Linked DNA regions of Macaca fascicularis. The protein of the gene in region 2 purifies or fractionates together with the protein of the main gene of each other region. This does not show direct contact. Links are inferred from orthologs where the notes say so. Each region holds a gene or a part of one and is shown on either strand. Other genes may lie near its edges.

Region 1 (5,252 bases), on a different chromosome or scaffold from region 2:
TGTTTCTATCTCCCTGCATAACCTTAAGGATATCTTGTGCCCTCTCTGGGTTTCATCTGCAAAATATAGTGGTTGAACAGAAAACCTAGTTCTGATGTATAATTCTAAAAGTAACATCCAACATCTCTTTTAGATGCTTAATTAGAATTGACAGCAGGAAGTAGCACCAGGTATACCTCCCAAAAGAGATACTAAGAGCAAAGAGCTCCTCAAATGTGTTGCCCCAGCAACTAGCACACACCTGTTATAGCTCTGATGGGCTGTTCACACGACTAGCTCCTCTACTAGTATATGGAGCCACATGAGGGCAGGAAGATGGTCTGATTCACCATTTTATTCCCAGTATCTTGCACAATGCCTGGCAAATAGTGTGTGTGCATATATATATATATATATATATATATATATATATATGCATATATATATTTCAAGACAGAGTCTCACTCTGTTGCCCAGGTTGGAGTGCAGTGGCTCGATCTCAGCTCACTGCAACCTCCACCTCCCACGTTCAAGTGATTCTCCTGCCTCAGCCTCCTGAGTAGCTGGAATTACAGGCACCCTCCACCACATCCAACTAATTTTTGTATTTTTTTTTTTTTAGTAGAGATGGGCTTTTACCATGTTGGCCAGGCTGGTCTCGAACTCCTGACCTCAGTGATCCACCTACCTCGGTCTCCCAAAGTGCCAGGATTACAGACATAAGCCACCGCGCCTGGCCATAGTATATCTTTTAAAAATATGTTAGTAGAATAAATGAATGAACAGGAGGGATGGAACTAGATAGGTTAGTTCTGTATGGTATCAATCTAGACTGACATTCCTAAGGCAATATTTGGGCCACTTGCTCCCACAGTAGGCAAGAACTATGGGAAAACTAGGATAGATTATTTTAAATCAAGACTGGCCTGTAAAAACCAGGATGTGAGATCTCTGTGGCTACAGGAGCCCAGAGGGAAAAATCCACAGATATCCACAGGCCTGGGATTCAATGTCATCCACACAGTAACACACCAGGATCCGATTCCAGAGACCAGCTTTGAGCGGAGGTGAGCAAATAGCTACTGTGTGACATGTACCTTAGTTTTCACACTTTTAAATAAAACATCTAATTTCTTCCTTATGATTGACTTACGACGTATGTTTCAGAAAGGAAGAAATTAATCTTTAGAGAGATTCAATAACCCACCCAAGGTCATATAGCTGAGAAGCACAGGATAAGGGATCAGGATTTGTGCCAGGTTCCAAGGTCTATGCTTCTTCCACAGTCCTGAAAGAGCAAGGTGGAGGAGGGGACCAAGGAAAGGGGCAGCCCTGAGGATGGGTATCCCTGGCCAGCCTAGTGGGACAGCCCATGGATATTGGGCTCTGGGCTGAAGAATTAATTTTGGTGGCCAAAGTGCCTTCTGGCGTCCACTCTGACATAAGGGTAGGGGCCACCTGAGTTCCTCAGAGCCTTCCTCACTGCATCACGAACACGGGTGTTCTGACGTGCTTCAGCTGACGTCGGTGTCTGGTGTGACAGATGCTCTGGCTGTTGGCGGGGGAGGGGGCGGACCCTGCTGCCGCCCAAACCTCTAGCCGGTAGCGCAACCCCCCAAAGCCGTCCCCACCGACCCCTCCGCGATCTGCTGGAGCAGAGAACCGCGGGTGGAGCCCAGCACGTGGGTCCGCAGGGCGGAGGGCGGAGACAGAGCGGCGCCGGACTACAAGTCCCACAATGCCCCGGGCCGCGGCGGCGAGGAAGGAGGGGTGCTTCAGGTGCCTGCGACCTCCGCGCCTCCCGCCCGGAAGTGTCCGAGGGGCCGCGATGGAGCTGGGGCAGCCGGGCGGTGAGTCCCCGCGCCATGACCGCGCCCACCCCGCCGCCCAGGGCCCCGGCCGGGCCCCGCCCGCCCTGCCCTGGATCGCCGTGCCCTCCTGCGGCTCCGGGGGGCGGGAAGGTGGGAGGGGTGATGAGGGGTGGGGGTAGGGAACGTGAAGTCTCGGATTCCGGGCGGGATCTGGGGTCTGGCAGCCCGCGGGGCTTGGAGACACTTCCAGAGAAGGCGTGGAGTTGGGCCTCCGCGGAGTGGGGTTGAGGGGACCGAGCTGGGTGGGTGGTGACGCTCGGAGGCTCCAGATTGCCCAGGGGCGGAGTTTGACGTTTGCTGTGGGGGAAGCCTGGGAAGCAGTCCTGTGCCGCGGGTGGGGTTTAGGTGAACCGTAATGCGGGGGGCGGGGGGTGGGGGCACAGAGGCTCTACCCCCACCTCGGAGAAACTTTAGCAACGGAGTAGATGAGCATGGGGTGAAGTCGGTGAAGGAGTAGACACACTGGGGTGAAGTGGGCAGGAGAATAGATACGCATGGGCGTGAAGTTTGGCTGGGGTGAAGTTTAGGGGAGGCGTTGCTTAGGCCCTTACCTTGGGATAGGGTTTGGGTGAGTTGGGAGCTGGTTGAAGACCTCGAGCTCAGATGACAGAAAGTTAGGACTTGGGATTCGGCGATGGGAAGGGGCACCCGGAGGCAAGTTTGGGGCGACTGGGAGGCAAAGCAGCCCGTACCCTGGGGTGGGTGAGGGAACCCAGGCTGAGGACGGTGGGAGCGTCGCGGTGGGGTGGGGGCAGGACCCTGTGGAGGTTCCAGGGCTCCTGGTCAGAGGGCCCGCGCCTCACGGGCTCTTTGTGCCTCTCCAGCTCGGTAGCGCGGCGGGCAAGGCAGGCGCCATGACCCTGATTGAAGGGGTGGGTGATGAGGTGACCGTCCTTTTCTCGGTGCTTGCCTGCCTTCTGGTGCTGGCCCTCGCCTGGGTCTCAACGCACACCGCTGAGGGCGGGGACCCACTGCCCCAGCCGTCAGGGACCCCAACGCCATCCCAGCCCAGCGCAGCCATGGCAGCTACCGACACCATGAGAGCGGAGGTCCCAGGGGCAGAGACCCCCAGCCTGAGACACAGAGGTCAAGCTGCACAGCCAGAGCCCAGCACGGGGGTCACAGCAACACCACCAGCCCCGGACTCCCCGCAGGAGCCCCTCGTGCTACGGCTGAAATTCCTCAATGATTCAGAGCAGGTGGCCAGGGCCTGGCCCCACGACACCATTGGCTCCTTGAAAAGGTACGTAGGTCAAGAGGCAGGAGCAATGCTGAAGACAGGGGTGGGGGGAGTGGTCACAGAAGGCCCCAGGAGAGACCTAAGACCCAGCCCTCCTTTATACTGGAGGCGCTGAGCGCCCCAGATCACAACTGCACTTGTTCCCTTGGCAGTCTGCCCCTCCCAGGCCAGGGCCGGTGTGTTGTGGAGGGCAGGGGAAGGGTGGGAGTGTTGTTCCGGGGCCAGGGACTAGGATTGCCTGAGGCCTGCTCTCTTACCCAGGTCCCTCTCTCCTCAGGACCCAGTTTCCTGGCCGGGAACAGCAGGTGCGACTCATCTACCAAGGGCAGCTGCTAGGCGACGACACCCAGACCCTGGGCAGCCTTCACCTCCCTCCCAACTGCGTTCTCCACTGCCACGTGTCCACGAGGGTCGGCCCCCCAAATCCCCCCTGCCCGCCGGGGTCCGAGCCCGGCCCCTCCGGGCTGGAAATCGGCAGCCTGCTGCTGCCCCTGCTGCTCCTGCTGCTGCTGCTGCTCTGGTACTGCCAGATCCAGTACCGGCCCTTCTTTCCCCTGACCGCCACTCTGGGCCTGGCCGGCTTCACCCTGCTCCTCAGTCTCCTGGCCTTCGCCATGTACCGCCCGTAGTGCCTCCGCGGGCGTTTGGCAGCGTCGCCGGCCCCTCTGGACCTTGCTCCCCGCGCCGCAGCGGGAGCTGCTGCCTGCCCAGGCCCGTCTCTCCGGCCTGCCTCTTCCCGCTGCCCTGGAGCCCAGCCCTGCGCCGCAGAAGACTCCAGGGGCTGGCAGAGGCCCCGCCCTGCGACCACCGGGGCTCGGGGCCACCTCCCGGGGCTGCTGGCCCTCAGTCCGCACTGGGAGTGGGCTCCTCGGGGTCGGGCATCTGCTGTCGCTGCCTCGGCCCCGGGCAGAGCCCGGCCGCCCCCGGGGCCCGTCTTAGCGTTCTGCCGGAGGACCCAGCCGCCTCCAATCCCTGACAGCTCCTTGGCCTGAGTTGGGGACGCCAGGACGGTGGGAGGCAGGTGAAGGGGAGGGGCATAGGAGTTCCCCGGAACTTGTGCAGATTAAAGTAACTGTGAAGTTTTCACTCTTGCAGTGTGTCTGAGTGTGTGCGGGATGGCGGGCGGGGACTCCTCGCCCCTTGGGAGAGAAGGGCACGGACGGCGCCCTCGGCTCTGGCCCACCGCTTTCCCTTCTCCCCTGCCTTCTGCTCTGGCTTTGGCGCCGGCCTCCGTGGCCCCGCCCCCGGTGCCGCGCGCGCACTTCCCGCGGGCGGAGCTCACGGCTCCCTGGCTCGCAGTGCCTGCCGGGAGCCACGTCTCCGCTGGTCGATAGCTGTTTCGGGATTGGTGTCCGGGCGGCTATCTGGGGGCTGCTGGGAAGATGGCGGACTCGGTGGCCAGCCGATGAGGAGGCCGCGGGGGGAACCCGGCCCCCGGGCCCCGAGACCGACTGAGGGAGCGACCTGCGCAGGGCCCGGGGAGTCATGTAGGGGTGGCGCCTGCGGGGAGGGCTGTGGGAGGGCAGCGGGAGCTGGTGTTAGCGGCAGCGGCCACGGTCTCCTGGCGTCCCTGGGTCGGGGTGGGTGTGGGGGCCCCCGACTTCGCCGACCCCACGCCATCGCAAAGCGGTGCACTCGGGCTCCACGCGCGCCCTGCGAGGTGGGCGTTGCGATTTCATTTCACGGGTGAGGAGACTTAGACGAAGCCACTTGTCCAAGGTCACGCCGCTGGTGAGTGGGAGCGCCCAGCATGGAACCCAGCGCCGTCCAGCCGCGGAGCCCGCGTTCCACCCTCTGTGCCGCCGCCGCCTCCTGCGGGAGAGGGAGGTGGTCGGGAGAGTGCACGCCGGTGCCGCCTGGGCTCCAGACTGGGCGCGACCACTAACCCGGTTAATGACCTCAGGCTTAACTTAACCCCTTAGCTGCTCTGGGCCTGCGTTTCTCCACCGGTGAAATGAGGTAATGCCAGCCCTGCCTACTCTTCACGGGCGTGTAAGGAGCATCAGAGATGGTGCATGTGGAATTGCTTTGCAAGTAGTGCCCTGAGCGCACTGAGGATTATGATTGCTGTTTCAAAGGCGTGGAAGGAGGCAGAGGGGCGGGGTGGGGAAGAGGCCCAGAGCAGTCACAAAGGGTTGCTCTGACCACAGGCCCCCTAAATG
Region 2 (4,526 bases):
TTTATGCCAGGAAACCAAGAAGTCATTCAAGTTGTTCTCTGAGGTCAAAGACGCTGAGCACAGCCCAGAGCCAATAAAAGATTTGAGTCTCTGGTGAATTCATGAAGTGACCCCAGCTTTAGCTGCTGCAATTATGATTTTTATGGGACAGCAATTTCTTGCATCTCTACAGAGGAAGAGGAGGGGGAAGGGGAGGAAAGAGAACAGAGCGGCACTGGAATTTGAAAGGGGAACATCTCTATCTGAGGAGCCCCCACTGGCTTCAGAGGCAACTTACCAAGGGGTATTTAAAGAGATGAAAATTTCCAGAAATACCATTTGGTGCATCCTTTTGTTTTTGTAATATTAAACTCAGTTGAAATTATACTCTGACAGTTTCTCTCTTTCTGCCTCTTCCCTCTACAGAGTCAGGACCTGCTCAACTGGTTGAAACAAGATTTCATGGTGTCACCCATGAGAGAGGACTCAATGCCAAGGCCTGAGGTTATAGGGTGTTTACAGCAGTGGCAATACTCAGGGGTCATCGCCAACTGGTCTTGAGTTCCAAAGCTCTGATGGAGAAACAAGACTCCTTGATGTGTTACTGATCCCACTGATTCCAGGAGTCAAGATTAGCCAGGAAGCCAAATACCAGGAGTTGGGGTGGCACATCACCAGTCCAGAGCCCTGCCACGGATGTAGGCAGGAGCCCAGAATTAGGCGATCAGGAGCCAGAACATGATCACCAGGGCCACAAATAGGAAGAGGCGTGACAGGAACTGCTCATCCACATACTGGGGTGTGCCAGGGACAGCTGGAGAGACAGGAGGGAGAAAACAGGCTGTCAGAACACTGCAGCTATGCACACTACCCACTCAGGCCAGAAGTTGACAGCATTAATCTTTTATGTCTTTACAACATCAGAATCCTACACACAAAAGATTTCTTTTTTTTTTTTTTTTTTTTTTTTTTTTTGAGACGGAGTCTCACGCTGTTGCCCAGGCTGGAGTGCAGTGGCGCGATCTCGGCTCACTGCAAGCTCCGCCTCCTGGGTTCACGCCATTCTCCTGCCTCAGCCTCCTGAGTAGCTAGGACTACAGGCGCCCGCCACCGCGCCCGGTTAATTTTTTGTATTTTTAGTAGAGACGGGGTTTCACTGTGGTCTCGATCTCCTGACCTTGTGATCCGCCCGCCTCAGCCTCCCAAAGTGCTGGGATTACAGGCTTGAGCCACCGCGCCCGGCCTCTTTTTTTTTTTTTTGAAACGGAGTCTTGACCTGTCATCCAGGCTGGAGTGCAGTGGCACGATGTCAGCTCACTGCAACCTCCACTTCCCAGGTTCAAGCGATTTTCCTGCCTCAGTCTCCTAAGTAGCTCGGATTACAGGCATGCGCTACCATGCCTGGCTCATTTTCGTATTTTTAGTAGAGACGGGGTTTCACCATGTTGGTCAGGCTGGTCTTGAACTCTTGACCTTGTGATCCGCCCGCCTCTGCCACCAAAAGTGCTGGGATTATAGGCATGAGCCATTGTGCCCAGCCTTTTTTTTTCTTTTTGAGATGGAGTTTTGCTCTTGTTGCCCAAACTGGAGTGCAATGGCGCAATCTCGGCTCACTGCAACCTCTGCCTCCTGGGTTCAAGCCATTCTCTTGCCTCAGCCTCCTGAGTAGCTGGGATTACAGGTGCATGCCACCACACCCAGCTAATTTTTTTTTTTTTTTTTTTTTTTAATTTTTAGTAGAAACAGGGTTTCACCATGTTAGCCAGGCCGGTCTTGAACTCCTGACCTCAGGTGATCCGCCTGCCTCAGCCTCCCAAAGTGTTGGGATTACAGGTGTGAGCCACTGTGCCCAGCCAAAAAAAATTTCTAAACCCCAAATAATATCAGGCAAAATGAAACTATGTGCAACAATAACAATAAGGACAAGACATGGTTCAATTTATCATAAAAGGTTTGGCCTGCACATGCAAATAAACCAGCTGATTAACAGAAAACTCTTGCAGGAAATAATGAAAGCAAGCCTACTGTTTGTTAAGTATATTCTATCTGCTAAGTGTTTTGTACATGTTATTATTTGGTGGATATTATTATTTCCATTTTGAATAGGAAGCAGCTGAAACATAGGTTTGAGGTGACCTGTTCAACATCGAAAGGCTCAGAAGTCAGTGGCAGAGCTCTGCAGTCTCTCCACACACTGCCTCTCAAGGGCCCCACAGGGATTGCTCACAGGGATTGCCTTCCTTTTCCAGAAGAGAACTAGTATCCAGACAGGCAAAATGACTTGTCTTTCAAGTTAGTGGCAGACGAACTGGGGTGAGAACCTAAGTCTCCACTCCTCTCTGCTTTGAGAAAAGCTACCATTTAGAGCTCCCTGTCCTGACTTTGGGGGAAGGAGGATAAAATAATCTGTATCCAGGATGGTCAAATTGTACCAAGCATGACAAGGGAAAACTGTGACTGTGGCAGGAGAAAAAAGTGATCCAGAGTCTAGCCTGGCTGTGGAACTCTACTTAGCTGGGGAATCCAAGGTTAGCCTTGGACCAGGTTAGAAGCATGCAAGCTATCAGGCAGGTTCTTGTTGGCTTCACAGGGATATGCCCTTTCTTCAGGGCAGAGTACTCCCTATCTTTTGGGGTATCCTTCCTCTGAAAAAAAAATGTGAACAGAGGATAAACCTTCAAGGCAGATAAGGTAAGAAAGGGCATTCCCTAGATATCTTGGTGCTGAGATTCCTCAGTTGGATGCTCTAATGGATTCACGAAGACAGGCAGGCAGACAGTCAAGAAAGACTTACAGATCACCTGCTGTGTACCAAGGACCAGGGTGGGGATGAGAATAACTGGGATGACCCAATTACTGTCTTTAGGGCATAAGCTCTTGGCGTGAACCACACAATGGTCACTTCTGTACCATATGCTGTGTCCAGTGTACATGAAGCTCCGAGTGCAGGCAGAGCTCAACCGATCATGGCATCTCTGCAGGCTCCACAGTAAGGATTTTGGCTCGGGTGTCAGACTGTGATAGAGTTCAGGGCACCCACCTCATTGCCTCGCTCTATACTGAATGCAGATGGCACTTTCAAGCAGTAGGAGGGAGAAATGCAGCAGCAGTTGGTGGACCTAGGCATGGTTCCCACAGGGCTGAGGCTGCTTGTGACCAGCCTCATGTTGTGTCCTGAAGGAAGCTGGACAGAGATGCCAGAGAATGGATATGCCCTCACTCCTGATGAGTCATCGCACATTTCCATGTCCCCAGATGGTCAAAGTGGGGAGTAAATGTGCAGAACTAGGCTTTTCCTTAGCTGAGTACCACTTGTAGTTTTTCATTTTATAGACATGGGGTATGTCTTGGTAACATTACTGAGCATTTTCTGACCTGTTAAACAGAGCTAATCACACACTTGTTCCATAGGGTGGTTGTGATGATCCCCTGAGCTTGGAATGGAAAGTGCTATATATATGCCTAATAGTTGGTAAGGGCTCAACATTGTTACCGTGTCTATAAGTGATCTGAAAACAGCTTAAGACATTTTGAAAAGGCTGATTATCCATGTAGTGACAATTATCTGTAACTTATATACTGCTGAATTCCAAGGAGCTTTCAAGCAATATTACTAAGATATCTTCCTAATTTCTCAAGGAAATAGGCTCTTACCTGGAGGAGGCCGCCCATCGTTTATATTAAATGCTGTGGCAAATATCCCAAAGGGAAATGCCCCAATTCCAAAAGACATCTGGAAGCCACCATCTCCAAATCCAAATCCTTGAAATCCCTGTGTGGAAGAAAGGCAATTAAGGGCAGGAGAATTGGGCAGGTTTCTCCTGTGCCTGTTAAAACTCAACATACCTCATGACCTCATGTTGTCTTGCATGTGGCACCTGCCTCTTCTCCCTACCTTGTGCCACATGTTTCCAAGATGGGGGACAGCTTTTCCTCCCATATATACCCTGAAGTAGAGGAACTCTTGCAAGCCTTAGCTTTTAGCTTAACCCTTTTAGCCTTAGCTTCCAGCTAAGAATCTATGAATGGGCCAAAAAGGACTGGCTCTGACCCAGTGTGGAACAGTCTGCTGACATAAGTCAGCACTCTGAGGGCTTGAGGATATTTTCCAGAGTCCCACATTAGCTAGTAACATCTTCCACATGCTTTATAGCAGCAATATTGACAGTCACCCCTGTGCCCAAGGGAACATCAAAGAAGCTACACATTATCTTTAATAGCAAAAATGTTGAAACCTAATTAGCCAACAATGGAAGTCATGATCAAAATCTTGATACATGCATTCAAAGAACCATTATCCTGACTTAAGCGGTTAACACTGAAAAACTCTTGTGAACAAGTTTTCAGACAAAACTGCTTGAACACTGTGGTCACAAGCACATGATAATATGTAGGTATATGGAGAAGTTATGGATTAAAATTTCTTCTAATATTGTTATATAGAATTTTTACATTTTAAAACACTTCAATGTTTTCTGATTATAAAAGTAATATATGCTTGCTATAAGAAACTCACACATTACAGAAATAATTGACAAAGAAAGTCA

What was found. The genes of interacting proteins can lie anywhere in the genome.
Region 1: the proteins of RNF185 (region 2) and TMUB1 purify together in Homo sapiens (affinity purification with mass spectrometry; 5 studies listed by BioGRID and IntAct, with this or other methods). This does not show direct contact. The link is inferred for Macaca fascicularis from reciprocal best matches to the Homo sapiens genes RNF185 and TMUB1.

Annotation. Positions count from the first base shown.
Region 1 is NC_088377.1:192,360,296-192,365,547, reverse strand, and holds TMUB1 (transmembrane and ubiquitin-like domain-containing protein 1), read left to right. Parts: upstream 1-1,789; 5' UTR 1,790-1,844; coding exon 1,845-1,940; intron 1,941-1,991; exon of another isoform or gene 1,992-2,092; intron 2,093-2,674; coding exon 2,675-3,093; intron 3,094-3,367; coding exon 3,368-3,719; 3' UTR 3,720-4,176; downstream 4,177-5,252. Other genes in the region: FASTK (fas-activated serine/threonine kinase), read left to right, coding at 4,496-4,577. UniProt on the Homo sapiens protein: Involved in sterol-regulated ubiquitination and degradation of HMG-CoA reductase HMGCR. Involved in positive regulation of AMPA-selective glutamate receptor GRIA2 recycling to the cell surface.
Region 2 is NC_088384.1:20,440,203-20,444,728, forward strand, and holds part of RNF185 (E3 ubiquitin-protein ligase RNF185), read right to left. Parts: intron 3,752-4,526; coding exon 3,634-3,751; intron 794-3,633; coding exon 696-793; 3' UTR 1-695. UniProt on the Homo sapiens protein: E3 ubiquitin-protein ligase that regulates selective mitochondrial autophagy by mediating 'Lys-63'-linked polyubiquitination of BNIP1.